2 linked regions of the Lepisosteus oculatus genome follow. The protein of the gene in region 1 binds, or shares a complex with, the protein of each later gene. Links are inferred from orthologs where the notes say so. Each region holds a gene or a part of one and is shown in the gene's direction. Other genes may lie near its edges.

Evidence for each region.
Region 2: the proteins of intu (region 1) and wdpcp are in contact, whole or in part, in a cryo-EM structure (PDB 7Q3E), measured with the Mus musculus proteins. The link is inferred for Lepisosteus oculatus from reciprocal best matches to the Homo sapiens genes INTU and WDPCP. Residues at the interface, in NP_780724.3 of Mus musculus: Val481, Gln484, Val488, Asp491, Ser495, Asp496, Glu498, Ala499, Ala500, Asp501, Ser506, Glu507, Asp508, Arg513, Arg514, Thr517, Ser532, His533, Leu534, Pro535, His574, Tyr593, Glu610, Gly613, Cys614, Ala615, Ser616, Lys617, Ser653, Pro654; in NP_663400.2 of Mus musculus: Phe3, Cys4, Leu5, Ile24, Leu51, Ser54, Arg55, Asp56, Lys93, Leu385, Ala386, Glu387, Asp388, Tyr389, Ile427, Lys446, Leu447, Gly448, Ile449, Leu450, Thr451, Arg452, Gly453, Leu455, Leu462, Gln463, Ile465, His466, Tyr467, Gln487.

The regions. Positions count from the first base shown.
Region 1 is NC_090696.1:66,111,038-66,118,794, forward strand, and holds the start of intu (protein inturned), read left to right. Parts: upstream 1-4,733; 5' UTR 4,734-4,862; coding exon 4,863-5,005; intron 5,006-7,757. UniProt on the Homo sapiens protein: Plays a key role in ciliogenesis and embryonic development.
Region 2 is NC_090712.1:9,392,163-9,400,127, forward strand, and holds the start of wdpcp (WD repeat-containing and planar cell polarity effector protein fritz homolog), read left to right. Parts: upstream 1-4,864; 5' UTR 4,865-5,407; exon of another isoform or gene 5,408-5,515; intron 5,516-7,965. Other genes in the region: mdh1ab (malate dehydrogenase 1Ab, NAD (soluble)), read right to left, coding at 58-234, 658-780, 2,048-2,223, 3,245-3,341, 3,781-3,879, 4,586-4,588. UniProt on the Homo sapiens protein: Probable effector of the planar cell polarity signaling pathway which regulates the septin cytoskeleton in both ciliogenesis and collective cell movements.

The DNA.
Region 1 (7,757 bases):
CGGCTTGTTCCAGATCCCATCATGCTTTGTGTGAAGCAGTGCCCACCTCTCTTCTGTCCTTAAGCGCATCTCTTCTCAGGATTTTAAACCTTTCCATTTCAGCATTCAGGCTGCTGTAAACTGGCAATAAGGACAAAGCACAAGATTTCACAGTCATTGTGAACTGATCGCAACCCTTAAGATGCACAAAAAAACTTTTACAAAAAAGCAAAATGTGGAAGATACAAAATCTGCATTATCTTAATTCAATTATTGATTAATTAAATTATATGCATATGAAGAATGCACATAGCGCACATGCATTCATTGAGATGGTTATTGTAAGTTTAAAATTTTGATGCCGCCTTTCAGTTAAAGTATTTTTGTGACATCTGGATGATTCATCAACAGGGACAAAGTAGTCTGACTCGAATCGAATACAATATGTCAGGCAGCCAGTGAGACATTAAACGCATTTGAAAATACGGATTCCAAAAATGATATTTCAAAAGCTATTGCCTATTTGAAAAGGATTACTATGCATTTAAATATTTTGAAATTCATGGAATATATAGATAATCCGTCCACGGATTTGATTTTTGTGAATTTTAGGAAATTCGAAAAATACTTTGGGTTTCAAAGTTGCCATATTTCTAAAATACTTGAATTTTATGTCTAATATGATTATTGTTGATGAAACATAAATTGTGAAGTTACTCTGGGTTAACAAAAGCCATATATTTTATGAATATCTACAGTACCTTAACTAATAAACTGTGAGCACACATTTAAAATGTTGGATTATGCATTTTTTCTACATTATTGAGGTTTAAACTTCAGTTACATTTAACTCTTTCATGTTTAAAAGACAAACCAAGTGTTTAGTTGGCTAGGACCTCTGTAGAATTGGGGTTTTTTTTAACGTACAAGTTTTAAATGAGAACTGCCTTTAGAATTATTTTAAAATGAACGTTTAAAAAAAGAAGAGCTGTTTTTTGTACAACTCAAAATGAAAGCACAAGATGTTGACATACTGTACAGCAAGGGACATGAATTTACTGTAAGCCAGGATCTCAACTGAATGCAGTGATTTAAAATTCTGTAAATCCTGAAAGAATTAACAAACATTATCCAATTTAAAAGAGGTGACACAGTAAATGGGGATTCAGGTGGGTTGATATAGTGAATACTGCTCTGTTAGGAAGTTCGTCATGTAGCTGTCCCACAGAACAGTCAAGCAGGTACTGTGGGAAGATCAAACAGAGTGACACTTCTGTCTCTTATTTTCTGTACAAGTAGGGATAATTTGGGAATGTGTAATGGTCTGCATGCTATCAAAAAATGGCTTGACAGTTTCTGTCAAGTGCAATAAATAGCTGGGAGGTCCAACTTAAATACTGTTTCTCCACTGAAAAAAACAGTCAGAACCCATTCAGCAAAAGGGCATTTTATATTTTTTGTGAACTGTTATGTATGCTTACTGATATGTATTGATTTCCAATAAAATCTGATTTTTTTTTTTATTGTGAAAACCTCTTGTCCTGGAAACCAAGTTGTAAGAATTATTGCTGCGGTCTCTCTTCACAGTGGTTCCGTTAAGTCTAATAATAACAGTTTTTCAAAAAGGTTCAATACTAGACTTGTACTAGACCGATAATGTGGGAGGGGAAGTTTTGTCTGTCCACGACATTGAAAGGGTAGTTATTAGAAACTCCGACACAACTCCCAGATTGTTGTGCGTGTCAACCTCTTCATTGGCTAAATGGCGAAAATCGCGTTATTCTGCTGAAATACTTTGAAACCTTTTTTCCTCAGAACGGCCTGGTCGTTCTTCACGCCACAAGATGGCACTCTCAATTCAATTATTAAATCGTCTGTGATTTGCAGTGGCCATCATCCATGGTAACTGGTATTTAAATCATCAATAAATGTAAATATATATATCTAGTTTAATACAATCACTAGTGAGCGCTATAAAGGACAAACAATCAGCTGATTGGATATGACCAAGAATATTATGATAAATAAATACTGGGTCGAATTGCGGGCTCTAAGTGGCAGCCTATAAATTACTCACCAACGTGAGAAGTAAAAAATGTGCTATAATAATGACATGCGATGTAACACAATTTAATTTTGCTACGTCCTCACAAGTTGGATAGTTATGAAACTGCACCCGACTACTCGTTTGCCTCACTTGTGTTACTGCTTATAAAGTAATAATAAAATTAAGAATTTTTTTTAAAAACACAATAAGAATGACTGCATAATCTTGTTGTGTCTGAAGCAAATTCACATGAGATAAATTAACGTTATTAATTCCGTATTATTGGTTATCATTAACTAACAAACATAAAATAGGATAAAATTTGCTTTACTTGCAACCACAAGTCTGTTGTGGGTGATACTGTATATCTATGAGCAGACATCTGAGAAAGAAATGAACATTTTTCAAAGTAATAAAGAATGTCTAAAATCGTGACAAAAGTAATATTTCTGGCATTACTGGATTAAACGCTTCTTGAATGTACTGTAGATTTTTATTTACATAAAATCTGTACTGGTTACGCTGTACAGTATATAGTTTTTGAAGGCGTGAATGCGCACTTCTTGTTTATGCATAGGAGAGTTTGAGGGTTTTTTTTTCAATGTGAAATGTTTGTGCATACCACGTTTCGTCTGGTAGTCGCCTTTTAAACGATTAAGTAAAGGCTGCGGATTAACACAATTCAATACAAAACTCAGTTTAGTATTGAGGAAAGGCAGTAATCCCTTTACCGCAGAGCACAGATCTTGCTTGTCCAGAATTGGCGCTCGGTATTTATTCTAACGACTGCGCCCTGGCTCTGTGAAGGACTCTAGTGCCGCTTCCCTTGCCTTCAAAGCAACGGGTGGTAAAGGAGAGCTTTGTACCGTCAGTGACTGGCGTGTGAATTGGGGGGGAAGCTAATTTGAAAGGAGTTTTCATTCAGTTTGAAGGCGAGAAAGTCTGGAATGTACCGCCGACTGCCAGAGCGAGAGATTACATTGTTGTTAACACAATTTAAAACACCGCTTCGAGAGCCACGGTCTTTGAAGGGGCTATTCTTCATAAACTGCAAAAACTGCGATGGGAGGGATTTTGGCGTCGCGGCACAGCCAACGTATAGCTGCTAAACCTTAACGCTCAAAGGCAATGGGTTTGTATCCAACTGGTATTAATTCCAGCATCTGCTCCTCGTGGAAACATGATCCAGGAATAAAGAATGTTTAATGTCGGTATAGATGGAAGAACATCAAGACCCTGTTCAAAGAACCTAGAGGATTTCGATTCTGTGCGCAGCGTGCTTCTCTACAGGTTAGTGTACCTTGGTCTTCTTCTCCAACAACAGTAACTTGGCATTTGGGGAAGTAATGAATTTTTAACCATATACGTTACATTTAACAGATTGTACAGTAGATGTGGGGAGAAAGTGCGCATAGTTTTTGTATTCATGTACTGGTCAATGAATACTTGGGGATTAAGGTCTTGCTTGGTGCAACATATTTTTTTATTGTATTCGCATTCAAAATAACAGTCACGTTACTTGCGTTGTTTACACAAGACATGAAGCCAGTTTGACATAATTCAACATAAAAACAGTATTTCCTTTTTCTGATAATACAGTATTTGACCTAGTTGTAATGGGTGGCAACGATGATCAAGATACGTTTATTTTTAAACGTTTAGCATTTGCAGCTGGAAAGCATCTCCAGAACCTTTTCTGTGCATGACGTGTTTTAAAGGGTAATAATATCGAATTTATTTTAACATTGCCTTCTCTTACTGTAAACCCATAGGGAAACTAAAACATCGCCGTCCGTTACTGTTAGCTTTCTCAAGGAAATACACTGTACTGTGCCTTTTCATCAGGGGGAATTTGCTGCCAAATGGCCGAAGTTTTATTGAGATGTAAAAAGAAACATTTCACTTGTATTTTTCTGTTCACATTGAATGTTCTTAATACAGTAAGAACACCAATGGTAAGCATCCAGTTTAGTCCATAAAAACCCTTCAAAAGACAACCGCAAGTGGTAGCATTAGACGTTAAGCAAGAAATACATCTACTCTCTGTCGAAACTATTAGGCTTTACAGCACTGTGGCCATCCACGCCTCTGGCGTCAGGACAACAGTGAGGTTACCAAGAAAGTAAGTTGCAAACTGTCAACCGTGGTAAGCACACACCTCGTATTCAAGCATAATTAAATAGCTGATATAATAAAAATTTTACCGCATTGACAAAAAATTGAATATTTTGCAGCACTTTAATGTTTTAAGAAAATTAATTTTTAGATAACGATTTTTAAACAATATTTTCTTAATGATGTAAAGCCAAATTTTACTACAAAGTTTACTTCAACTTTCACAATACTTTCTATGTATTCTACCGTACAGACATTATTATTATGTTAATGTTATAAGGTTACTCCCAAACTAAATAAAAGCAACCGATTAAAATAATCTTTTTATGATTTTGAAATATATGTACAGTACAAATAACACAGATTGTTAAATAGGACAGACAGCTAAGTACACACAATTGTATATACTTGTGTGTATACTAAGTGTCACAAACGCATAACTAAGGAAATGGCTTTTCTGCAATTTCTTATTTAATCGCCGACACCTATCCATTCACACCTGTGTAACCTGCCTCTATGCTTGTCAAGGCTTCCTTGTGCCTATGGCAACCCCGCTGCTAGCCAATCAGAAAGGTGGTATTCCTGTCACATGACTCAAACTAACCCGTATGCGGGACAATATGGCGAAGTGTTAGTTGTCAACGTGAGAAAGTAACGTACTGTAGACAGTTTAGAGAAAGATCGGTATGCGTTACTATAACGTGTTAATGCGTATCAGAAGATGAATTCCCAGGTTCGAGATTTCCAGCGATCCTCCGAGTCTCCTTTCACCCCCGGTCCATACAGAGAACAACAACCGGAGGACGACGAAGGCAGCTATGAGAGTGACACTACATCAAGTTACAGCCCCTCCGATTACTCAGAGTGAGATACCGTCACAACGTAGCAAAAATAAATCTGATGAAAATAATTAACTGAATTACGAGCTGAAATCTGAAAATATGCTTAGATGTTTTGTTGTAGTGTAATTGTGAATAATATTTACTACAGAGTTCGGCTGAAGTATTTCTATGCTGCCAACTACTGATAACGTCTTTTATTAGTTTTTGTTTTTACATAAAGTATACCGTGTCATGAGCTTTAAAAAGCAGACGATACAAAATAGTTGCAATAATAATGTACAGCGAGTTACTGGTATGACAGTGTAAATTCTAGAGTTCTCACTCAGAAAGGTAGTAATATCAGAGATTTAGGTTTAAGACACTAACTTAATTTGTGATAATAAAGTTTTAGAAACAGGTTAAGAAGGGTTTTCTCTCGTGTGCTGATCTAAAATGATTCTTAGATATGCAAGGTTCAGATAAATTCCCAGAATGAAATTTGAGTGCAGTATGATTAAGGCTCAGTTGTATAAAAATGTCATTTGTACTACAGTGTTTTTTTTCTCCATCCTGTACTCTTGTCTCATCTCCTGGCTTTTGAAAAATTACAGCAGAACACGCACAATTTACGGTGTTTTTTTATTTTTTAGAAAAAAACAGCTGAACCATCTTCAAAAGTGCCTACCTTTTCTTTGCTTCTTTGAGCAACCTTCCCCATTGAGTGTTTAAAGTACTTCTGTCTGTGCCTTGACTATCAGAATTTCCCTCAGTTCTGTGACCTTCAAACCCTCAGTTCTGTGACCTTCAAACCAATGGGCAGTGCTTGTGTTAATAGCTCTGGTGTTCCAGTCCTTGCAGTGGGACCTTTTGTATTGTTACCAGTCTCTGTTTTTGTTATGTGATTTCTCTGAACAATTCCCTTAGTCTTTGTCATTAGTGCTGTTGCATCTTCATCTGGTGCTGCTGCTTTCCACCTCGCTGAGTTCTCCTGTTGTGGTTGTTGGCTCTGCTGTGACGTCTGGGATGCTGCAATGTTAAAGCTTTCAGCAGGTATCCTACTGATGGTTCTGTCTCTTCCATTAGTTCTCCTCTTTCGTTTCTTCCAGGCACTGGTGCATGAGCTGTAATTAGATCTGTCCCACCTGAGCACCTGCCATCCTCACTGCAAAGTCTTTCTTTCCTGCTGGTTCCTCTCTCTGTAGTTTTGGATACCCTCATTAGAATGGCCCTGCTTTTTGTCTGTCTCTCATCCACACATGGCCTGAATCATCTCCTTCACTTTGCTGGTATAGGGGCTCTCTGATCTCGCTCTCTGTGGCCTTGTCTTCCTGTGTATATTCATTTGGATTTGCCCTTTAAATGTAATGTTTTCTCAGTTGAAAGCAGGGTGGGGATTTTACTGAGGGCAGCAAAAATCATTATGTCACCTGCTGTTGTTACATGTCCTACTGTAGGAGTGCTGTTTGCTAATTATCGTGTTTGTTGGCCTTCCTAGCCAGTGAAAAAAGCTTGAGGTTCTGCAAGGTAGGGGACAGCTATTACTAGAAGGGCAGGAAACAAGAATACAGTGCACCACTTGAGCCATCGGTTATTGAGGTGATCATGTACTGTACATAGGATAATGTGTCATGTGAATAGTGAATTGTTGAACTACAGCTCCAAAGCACCAAAGACAAATGGAATGAACTGATACTGTACACCAAACAGTGTGAACAATTTCTGTGTGCCTCTGTGACCTAGTAACTTCTGTAAGCTTCAGTGCACTAAGTTCTTCTCTGGGAGCTAAGTGATTGAAATCCTGGTGGCTTCAAGGGTTTTGGGCATCTCGGAGTCTGCTTTTACTTTTTACTTTTTTGTTATGAGTGTAAAGAAGAGAAAATTAAGGGGTTAGAAGGGCTGTGATGAGCAGAAGGGCAGCTGTACAGACTTAATTTAAGCCTGACTTAACTGATCTTTTTGGGCTGAGACATTTAACAGCTTTTTATCTGCTTGAGTCCTCTGGGTAAAGGCGACTATGATGTCCGTGTGAGAATGTCTCGTGATGTCCGTGTCAGAGAATGTCTCTTGATTTTCAGTCTTCTAGGCTTCCACAGAATAGGTGCAAAAATATACAGTACCAGTCAAAAGTTTGAGTACACCTTCTTGAAACCAGGTTTATGATTATCTCTGCTTTAAATTGTATAAACTTGTCTATAAAGCACTTAATATTTAATTACATGAGATGTGTACTTTTAATCTGAAGTGAACTGCATTGAAAATGTTAATTTTTGATTTTCAATAAAATGAACACCCAAAGCAGGCGGATTTCAGTCTGAAGCCCAGGTTAGTTTAAAGTTAGAAATGTGTATAACATGGTGTTAGAACACTAAAATAAGTTTAAAATTCTTTGTAAACTCACAGTTAACTAGCATGTTACCTCATTTACCTTTTGTCACCAATTATTGGTAAACAGGTGAGGGTCCACGATTACTATAAATATAGGGAGCATGGGCAAAAGTCTGTAATTCCAATCTATAATTACTTTGAGAAATGAAGATCAATCTTTACGACAAATTGCAAGAACTTTGCAAGTGTCAGTAACTGCCGTGGCCAAGACTATCAAACGATATGAATAAACCGGAACTCGCGAGGATGGAAAAAGGTCAGACAGGCCAAAGGTGACCTCAGAATCAGAGAATAAGTTCATTAGAGTCACAAGTCTGTGAAACCGGTGGCTAACTGCTGAGCTCAATGCAACTAGAAGTACAATGTGTCGACATCAACTGTTCAGAGGAGGTCGCGTGAAGCTGGCCTAC
Region 2 (7,965 bases), on another chromosome or scaffold:
AAATCCATATTTCAGAAAAATCATTGGAGGGGGAAAAAAAAAAAACCAACAACTCACAGAAATGAAATCTCCCTTGAGCCAACTGTCATCCTTCACGGCTTCATAGGCCCCGATCTCCTTGCCATGAACTTTGACCTTAGTGTGATGCACATCAGGGTATTGGGTGGATGAGTGGTTACCCCAGATGATAACATTCTTCACATTGTCAGCTGGGACTCCCACACGAATCGCCACCTGTGCAGGGCAAGAAAAATTAACTACTTTCAGCCTAAATTAGTCTTTTGTTTCCACTCAAGCTATATAAAGCAGCAAGTGTGCTTCAGAAATAGTTTTGAGTAGCCCTTTCACTTTTGGGTAAATACTCTAGCTGTGTAAACAGGACCTTCAGCCTTAGACTGATGCATATTACCAACATCTTTATCATTGGGCAACGTTTAAATCGATATACTTGCTCTTTGTGCTGGACAAGTAGATCCTAGAATACTGAAGATTAACTTGAAAGCACACGCTGGTCAGCTAAAACAAACTTATATCCCCACAGGTTCTCTAGAACATTGATTGGCGGTTATTTGATGGATGTAGCCTAACTGGTGCCCACATTATTACAATACAAACTTTCTACCATTTGGTTACAAGGTCATGGTGAAGGCTGCAGACCTGTGACCTGGCCCTGTTGTGATCCAGACGGGTCAGGCAGGAGAAGTTCTCCTTGGGAATAGAAGGAGCTGACTTGGAGGCAATCAGGCAGTTGGTGTTTGCAGGGTTTCCCACAACCAATACCTAAAAAAGCCAACACAGAGTCAATATGAATTGCCATCAGCAGTCATAGCAGGTTACCACCCATAGATTTGAACAGAAGCAGAGCAGTTTAGATTTTTGGAGAATAACAAAGGATCACTTCTCTTTCTTGTATCAGGCTTAAACCCACAAACATAAGTCACCTGTTTCATTTTTTTGTGTGAGCTCTGCATCCTAAAGCAGTTACAGTACATATATAATTCTTACCATGGAGAGCCCATTCCCGCCAAACAAGGTATGAACACCCCACTGACTGAATACTGGCGATTTCATACCCTACAAATAGTGTTGCTCCTATGGTGGGCACAGTTTCCCAAAGGAATACATTTTTACATTCCAGTTTTTAGGTGTAATAATACAAGATTTTCTGCATGGTGCAGTTTTCATTACCCTCCACAAAAAATGAAAAGCCTACTGCATGTTTTCTGATCTGGGACTCAAAAGATTACTTTGAAATAAGGTCAAGAAATTGAACATAAATGGGAGGAGGTTTGGGGGTTAATCAGTTCACATACTTGTATTTTGTTACAAACAAATCAAATGTAGTTATATACAAGTCCTATTCTAGCAGCTTGGGGCTAGAATAATGTGGTTATTGTGTTGCCATACATGTTCAGTCACCACTCAGGGCACAGGGAGCCATGTGGGCTGACATCCTGGTGTTCCAGTGCATCGCAGGGCAGAGGAAAAACACGCCTTGTGCAATTTTATAGATGACAATTAACATGGTCACAAGGTCTTTGGATTGTGCATGGAAACTCAAGGAGAACATGCAGACTATAAAGCGATCATTGAACCACTGCCTTGGTCTTGCCATATAGATATAATGTATGGTAACTGATGGATATATGCAGCTCTAGTCACACCAAACATCAATTCAAGCAATCACGAAGTGTACCTTCAATGCACTCTTTTCTGAATACCACTATACAAAATAACCTGAACAAATTGGTCACTATTTTTTTATGCCAATGGAGGGCAGAAACACAAGCTGTTTCTATCCCATTTCTTCAAAAGCATTAAATACCAGGAACATTCATTTTACAATTATTCAACATTTCTTTCAAGTGCTTTACCCCCCCTTCAGTCCAAATTACAAGCCCACAGGATGTAAGCTGAGGAATTCAGGTTATTTGCAGCACAGAAATGGGAATTACTGGCTGACTGCTGTGCGCAATGAATTAAAGCCAAATCTAACAAGCCACCAGCAAAACTGTGCTTTCATTACAGGCTCATTAATCTTAGTCACCTTGACGGTCTTCTTGGCATATTTATCCAGAGCGGCACCCTGGGACTTGAAAATGTTCACATTGGCCTTCAGCAGATCCTTCCTCTCCATGCCTTCTTTTCTTGGCATGGAGCCTACCAGTATGGCTGCGTCAAGATCCTTGAAAGCCACCTCCTCCTTGTCAGTTGGGATGACCTCTGCAAACCACAGAATTACACTTCATAGTCGGACAGAAGCTCTGCAAACTCGTTTTTCCCTTGACAAAACAGAGGATTAGATTTCTGCCAACAGCAGCCAAAACTTAAAATGCTCATTTACAAGTGGCTGGAAAACTGCTGGTCACCAATATCAGGCAATCTGGTGTTGCAAGTTGCAATAAACCCCCATTATCAGGCTGAACTTCAGCCTGGGCTCTGTGCATTCATCAATTTCCAGTAGTATACCTTGCACACAGTCTGATTTTGTTACTGCGGCACATACTGTGGGTGGTGCTTTCATCTAGGTCACTAAGTGACCAATCAGAGCCCTGCAGTTCGGCACACCTCTCCACCATCCGCTGCTGAGCCTTACACACAGCAGTGTCAGTTCTGCAGGGGGGACCTCAGACTAGGGCTGCAGTCAGTAGGCAGAGAGCTCCATTATAGCGCTGTACGGCAGGAGACGGATCTTAATCAATGGTGCTGGGACAAAGTGCTTTTCAAGCAGTGGAATAAAAAATATTACACATGCAGTCTGCAATTATGAAGGACTGGTCTGAATTATGTTGCAGATCTGATGTCATTAGCTTCAGCACAAACTAAAATGAACAAAGGTAGACGAAAATGAGATTACAGGATTTTAATTCCCCCCCTCCCCCCCGAGATAAGACGCACAGAAGGAACCATCACTCCTCTTCAAGACTAGCTGTGCACTTCAAAATATTACCTAGAATTTTTAATTCACCCAAGCAGTTAGAGAAGTGCACACCATTTAAAGCACTAACCTACATGTTCACTACACATGACTAGGAAAAAAATACTAATCATATTCAAAATTAAACCCTCTGTAGTAGGATAATTGTCCTCCATTTAGAGTAATCTGTAGGAGTTAAATTACCCCCCCACACATTAATTGCATAAAGAAAGTCCTTGCTTCACTGGGTTAAGGCTCTACACACTAACACGCTTGTCTGCTAGAGAACTGGGACTCCAGCAGACTGGGGCATCGGGCCCAGCATACCTCTCAGCAGTGGGAGGGCACAGTCCTGCAGCTCCATCACCACGCCGTCCAGGACTGGCAGCATAGGGGTGATATCCAGCAGAACAAGAACAAGCGGCTAGGAAGAGGAGGCAAAATACTTCAGAAGGAAGCACAACAACCAGACCAGAGTCACTGCGCACATGCAGTCACGCCATCACAAAACAAGGTTACACCGTGCACATCACCTTCAGAAGAACTAAATTCAGATGCCCTTATTATGGACTAAGAACATGCGAGCAAAAAGTTAAACTCAGCTGAAATAAGCATTGGCAAGGAAGTGACTAATGTTAAATTCAAGCACCACTATTTTATAATCCTAAATTGCCAGATACCATTTTACAGCCCCTGGCAAAAGACCCACTTACAAACAGTACGTTTGTAACTTACACGTCTTTAGTGTCTGCAGTTTGCCAGCCCAAAATTAAAGTTCTTCAGTACCATCGCAATTTAATTATATATGAGGCCTAGGGTGTGTTTCCTAAAGAAAGATGCAACTAAACCGGTCCATTACTTACCTGATCTTTGCCGAAGACATCTCCCTTAGCGATGCTGTACAGAAGGGAATAGGCGATCTGGCCAGCAGCGCCAGTTACCAAAACTTTAATGGGATCAGACTGCAACAACAGGGTGAAAAATGGGGGCTTAATGACGGACCATCTCAAATTGCTTTATAAACATTTTCCCCTCCCAGAGTCACCTCCCGCAGAAGCGACTGCAAGGACATCTCCATAGATACACAGCACACATTCAAAATAAAGATTAAAGCCGATAATCAATATATCCTCAGAAATGTTTATGCAAGTCTAAATGAACGTTAATTTATCGGTTTCAGCTTCGCAGCAGGAATAAACTTGCTGTTCTACATTGCAGTGACCTTGGGGTTTTGTTCGAGGTAACAAAAAGCATATAAACAGGCATATAAGCAGCCATTAGACTACAGCAGATGAAACGGATGTCGGAAAAATCATAACACCATGGCGATTATGCACTGCAAGTGTCGTGCAACGCGTACGCAAGTCAAGTAACTGTAGCTCATCTTAAAAAAATGTAACGCCAAATTTATTTGGTGCAAATTTGAAAGTGCAAACTGTAAACGCCTTTCTTAAACAATGGAGTTCAACATACCAGAAACTCCGGTTCCTACCCTCCAACGTCTTCCGATTTATATCATATTTATATTCAATCGGCCCGATGTCGGTACCTATGTACAATGCAAGGCGATAAAGTGGCAAAACCGCCCAAAAAACAAACCAGAATCCTAAACACGTTAAAAATGTACATATGCATGTCTTTACAAACCGATGCCAACCGTCCTCTTACCATTTCGATGACTCTTGATCTGCTAGACACCAACTCTCTCACCTAACTGAACAGAGTGAGGGTGACCTCTATTTCAGACAGCAACTGATCACGGGGGCCCAACGAGTTGTTAATGCGCATGTGCCGCTGACCCCAGTGTATTCTGGGACTTGTAGTGTTGACTCCGGCAAAGATTTTTTATTTTGCTCCGAAATCGAAATTTGGGAAATACATTGTCCAGTATGCCCTGCTCCCTTCCATTTTTAGAATCGCCTGCCAGTATTTCATTGGGGGAAAAGGTGATTAATATGAATGTGGAGCTCGGCTTTCTTCCTGATGTAAGCACGATTTTCCAAATGTATAAAAAACAGCGGCATTTTTTTGGACTTCCTCTGCATGAAAACACTTTTCTACCTACAGTATATATGTTATCTTTTTTTTAAAAAAAGTGATTATCCGCTCAAAGCGTTTAACGCAATTTCTACACGTGTGCACGGGCATGTTCAGATCTAAAATTCGGAATCAGGAGATGATGGAGGAATGTTTACACCTCCGTTACTACGGATGATTAATATTGCTTAAAACTTCAGTTGCCCTCCCGGGAGGAACGACTTGTCTGACCCGGAAGGTAATGGCGGTCGCACGCTGGGCCGAGGGAGTCTGAGAGTCGAGGAAGCTTCCCTGGTTGCCTGGACACGGAGAGCAAGACCTGCCAGCCGCTTCAGGAAGCGTTCGTGCGGCGATGACGGCGTACCGGTGCTCAATCTAAGAAGTAGCTGTAAAATAAACAACAGTCTTCTGTACATCACATGTACAAGAATCTTTTGAAAAAGAAACAAAAGGGTAAAAAATTACACCTTCTCTTTGACACAGAGACCAGTAAACCGTTTTTTGCTCCTCCGTCTGAATGCAAGCTGCAGAGATTGCACATCAGATCTCGGAACACAGCAGGTAGGTTGAAACTGGAAGTTTAAAATGGCATTTCTTAAGTGCTTGTCAAATACGCCAGTGGTTTCAAAATACCTGATGTCTTCTGCTTAAAGATTTAACGTGAGTATAGATTCATGATTATTCACTGTGCATGCATGTTTGAATGAGCCCGTTTGATTTAACAATGCCAAACTATAAATGTGTAGAGTTAGTCCGACAGGCTGTGGGATTAATACTTTCCAGCTTCTGAAATAATGGGAATTGTGCTACATTTCGTGATTTCAGGTTTAGAATTCGATTGCTATTTCTTCCTATCGCTTACTGTTCTGCAATTGCAAGTGATGTTCATTAAAATAGATGTTATTAAAATGTAGTTTTATATTTTATTCTCAGAATGTATGAGACTCTCTAATAGAAATCTGAGTGATTCTTAATTATCAACCTGACCTTGGTTAGTTTAGAAGCTTCAAATGTCTAAAATACTTTTGTATTAAACATAACTGTGCAGTTCATGAGCTCCACCGAAACGACAGTTCTACTGGTAGTACTGAGTAGATACAATACCTTTGGATAGACAGTTTCAGTATAATTTACCCGTTGTTTTTTCAAATTATGTTAATACCATATCTGCCTTTCACTTTTTAAAATACTCCCTTCTTTTTAAAATCTACCTACAATGTGCAACTGGACCACGGTCATTTACCTACAAGTTAAAATAACGTCATTGGATTATTGAAGAATTGATCTTCTTGCTAAGACAGAACGAATACGCTCAGACACTCTAGTGTACATTTAACAAATGGAAAAAAAGAAAATTGTTCTTTGAAAAAAGTTTTTAGAAATGACCTTTCACTGACGGGTGAAAAAAAGTGAAAAGTGCTGTATAAGATCATTATTTCAGAAGAATCCAAGTACAGTAGATCATTGTTCCTCCAACGCTAAGACATTTTTGTTGTAGTTCTGATGTTTATTTTTCAATTCAGTTTGCGTTACTGGACTAAACCTTCAGATCCTGGAGCAAGTGTTACTGCACTGAAACGAATAGGAAAGAAAACAATTGGAAACAATTAAAGTAACCAATGTACAAAACAATTGGAATAATCTAATATAATAAATTAAATAGCAACTAATATTGATTAAATGTGTGGATCAGTGCCTGAACATAAGGTTGTCACAGAAGGCTATATACTGATCCACCTCCTCAATGAACCCTTATCTTTGTAGAGAATACATAGAATTTATGTGTTTTTTTTTGGTTGGTCCGGTGGAGATCACTTCTAGCTACAAATTACGTTTTGTTTGACCTAAATGTTTGCTTGCAATGTAGTGGTATTTCTGTAGATTTTACTTATTCACTTTCCTTAGCAAACATGTTTCCCTAGCATCTTGAAAACATTTTGAAATGTGAGTTTTTTTTAAGAGTTCTTGGAAATAATAGTGGGTGTTTTTTATTACACCCACTATTGAGCAACATGGTGATAAGCTGCTTCATAGCTCTTGGGTGCTGGGTTCAATTCTGGCCTGCAGCACCTTCTGTGAGGAATGTGCATGTTCTCCTCTGGACATGTAGTTTTTCACTGGGTGCTCTGGTTTCCTTCCACAGTCCAGAAACATGTTGTGTATGTGTCTCTGAGGATGTGCCCTGTGATTGACTGGCATCCTGTCCAGGGTGAATCCTGCCTTGAGCCCGTGGTCTGCAGGGCTGGTCTGTGGCTCCCCTCGGCCCTGTGTTGACAAAGCTCTTATTGGAAATGGATGTATCAACGATGAGTGTGATTCGTGTGAGTTGAATGTTTGCTGTCAGGAGAGATGCTGTAACAATGGGAAGAAGAAGTGCATTAACCTACGATTGTGAGATCGTTGTCATTCTGGTTTGACACAGAAAATTGCAGTTCCCTGGCCAGGTGCTTAGTCCTTTCAGAGCAGGAGTGTCAGAGGCTTTCCATTCAGGGGGTAGTGTTAGGTGATCTGACTTATGAATATTTCATGGTCTAATTACAGGGTCATTACATCAGTTGAACAAAGCTGGCCCAGATTTTATTACATCTCATTGACTTTGGAAACCATTATGCTTTGACAGACATTTCCAAGTGCCTATTAAGGGTTCTGTAGTGTTATTTATTTAATAAATAGGTCATTTTAACAGGTTTGGATTTTTTTTTAAGTAGGTGTGGTATTATTTTACTACTTTGTTTTCTTGCAGGCAGAAACATAGTTCTATTTTGTTTTTGGGTTGTCTTCTGTTCTGTTGGATCTGTTTCCAGGGGTATCTTTTCAGGGCTGTTAAGAGCGTTAACAAACAGATGAGAGGATCGGTGGTGGCTGGAAAAAAGATTGTCCTTTAGTCTTCCAGCTTCCAGCTCCATGCCTCGCTGCTGCCTCATTTGAATGTTTGTGTTTGGTTCACACAAATCTTTAGTACTTCAATCAGGAATGAAGCACAGTGTTACGTTTAATTGAACCATTTTATG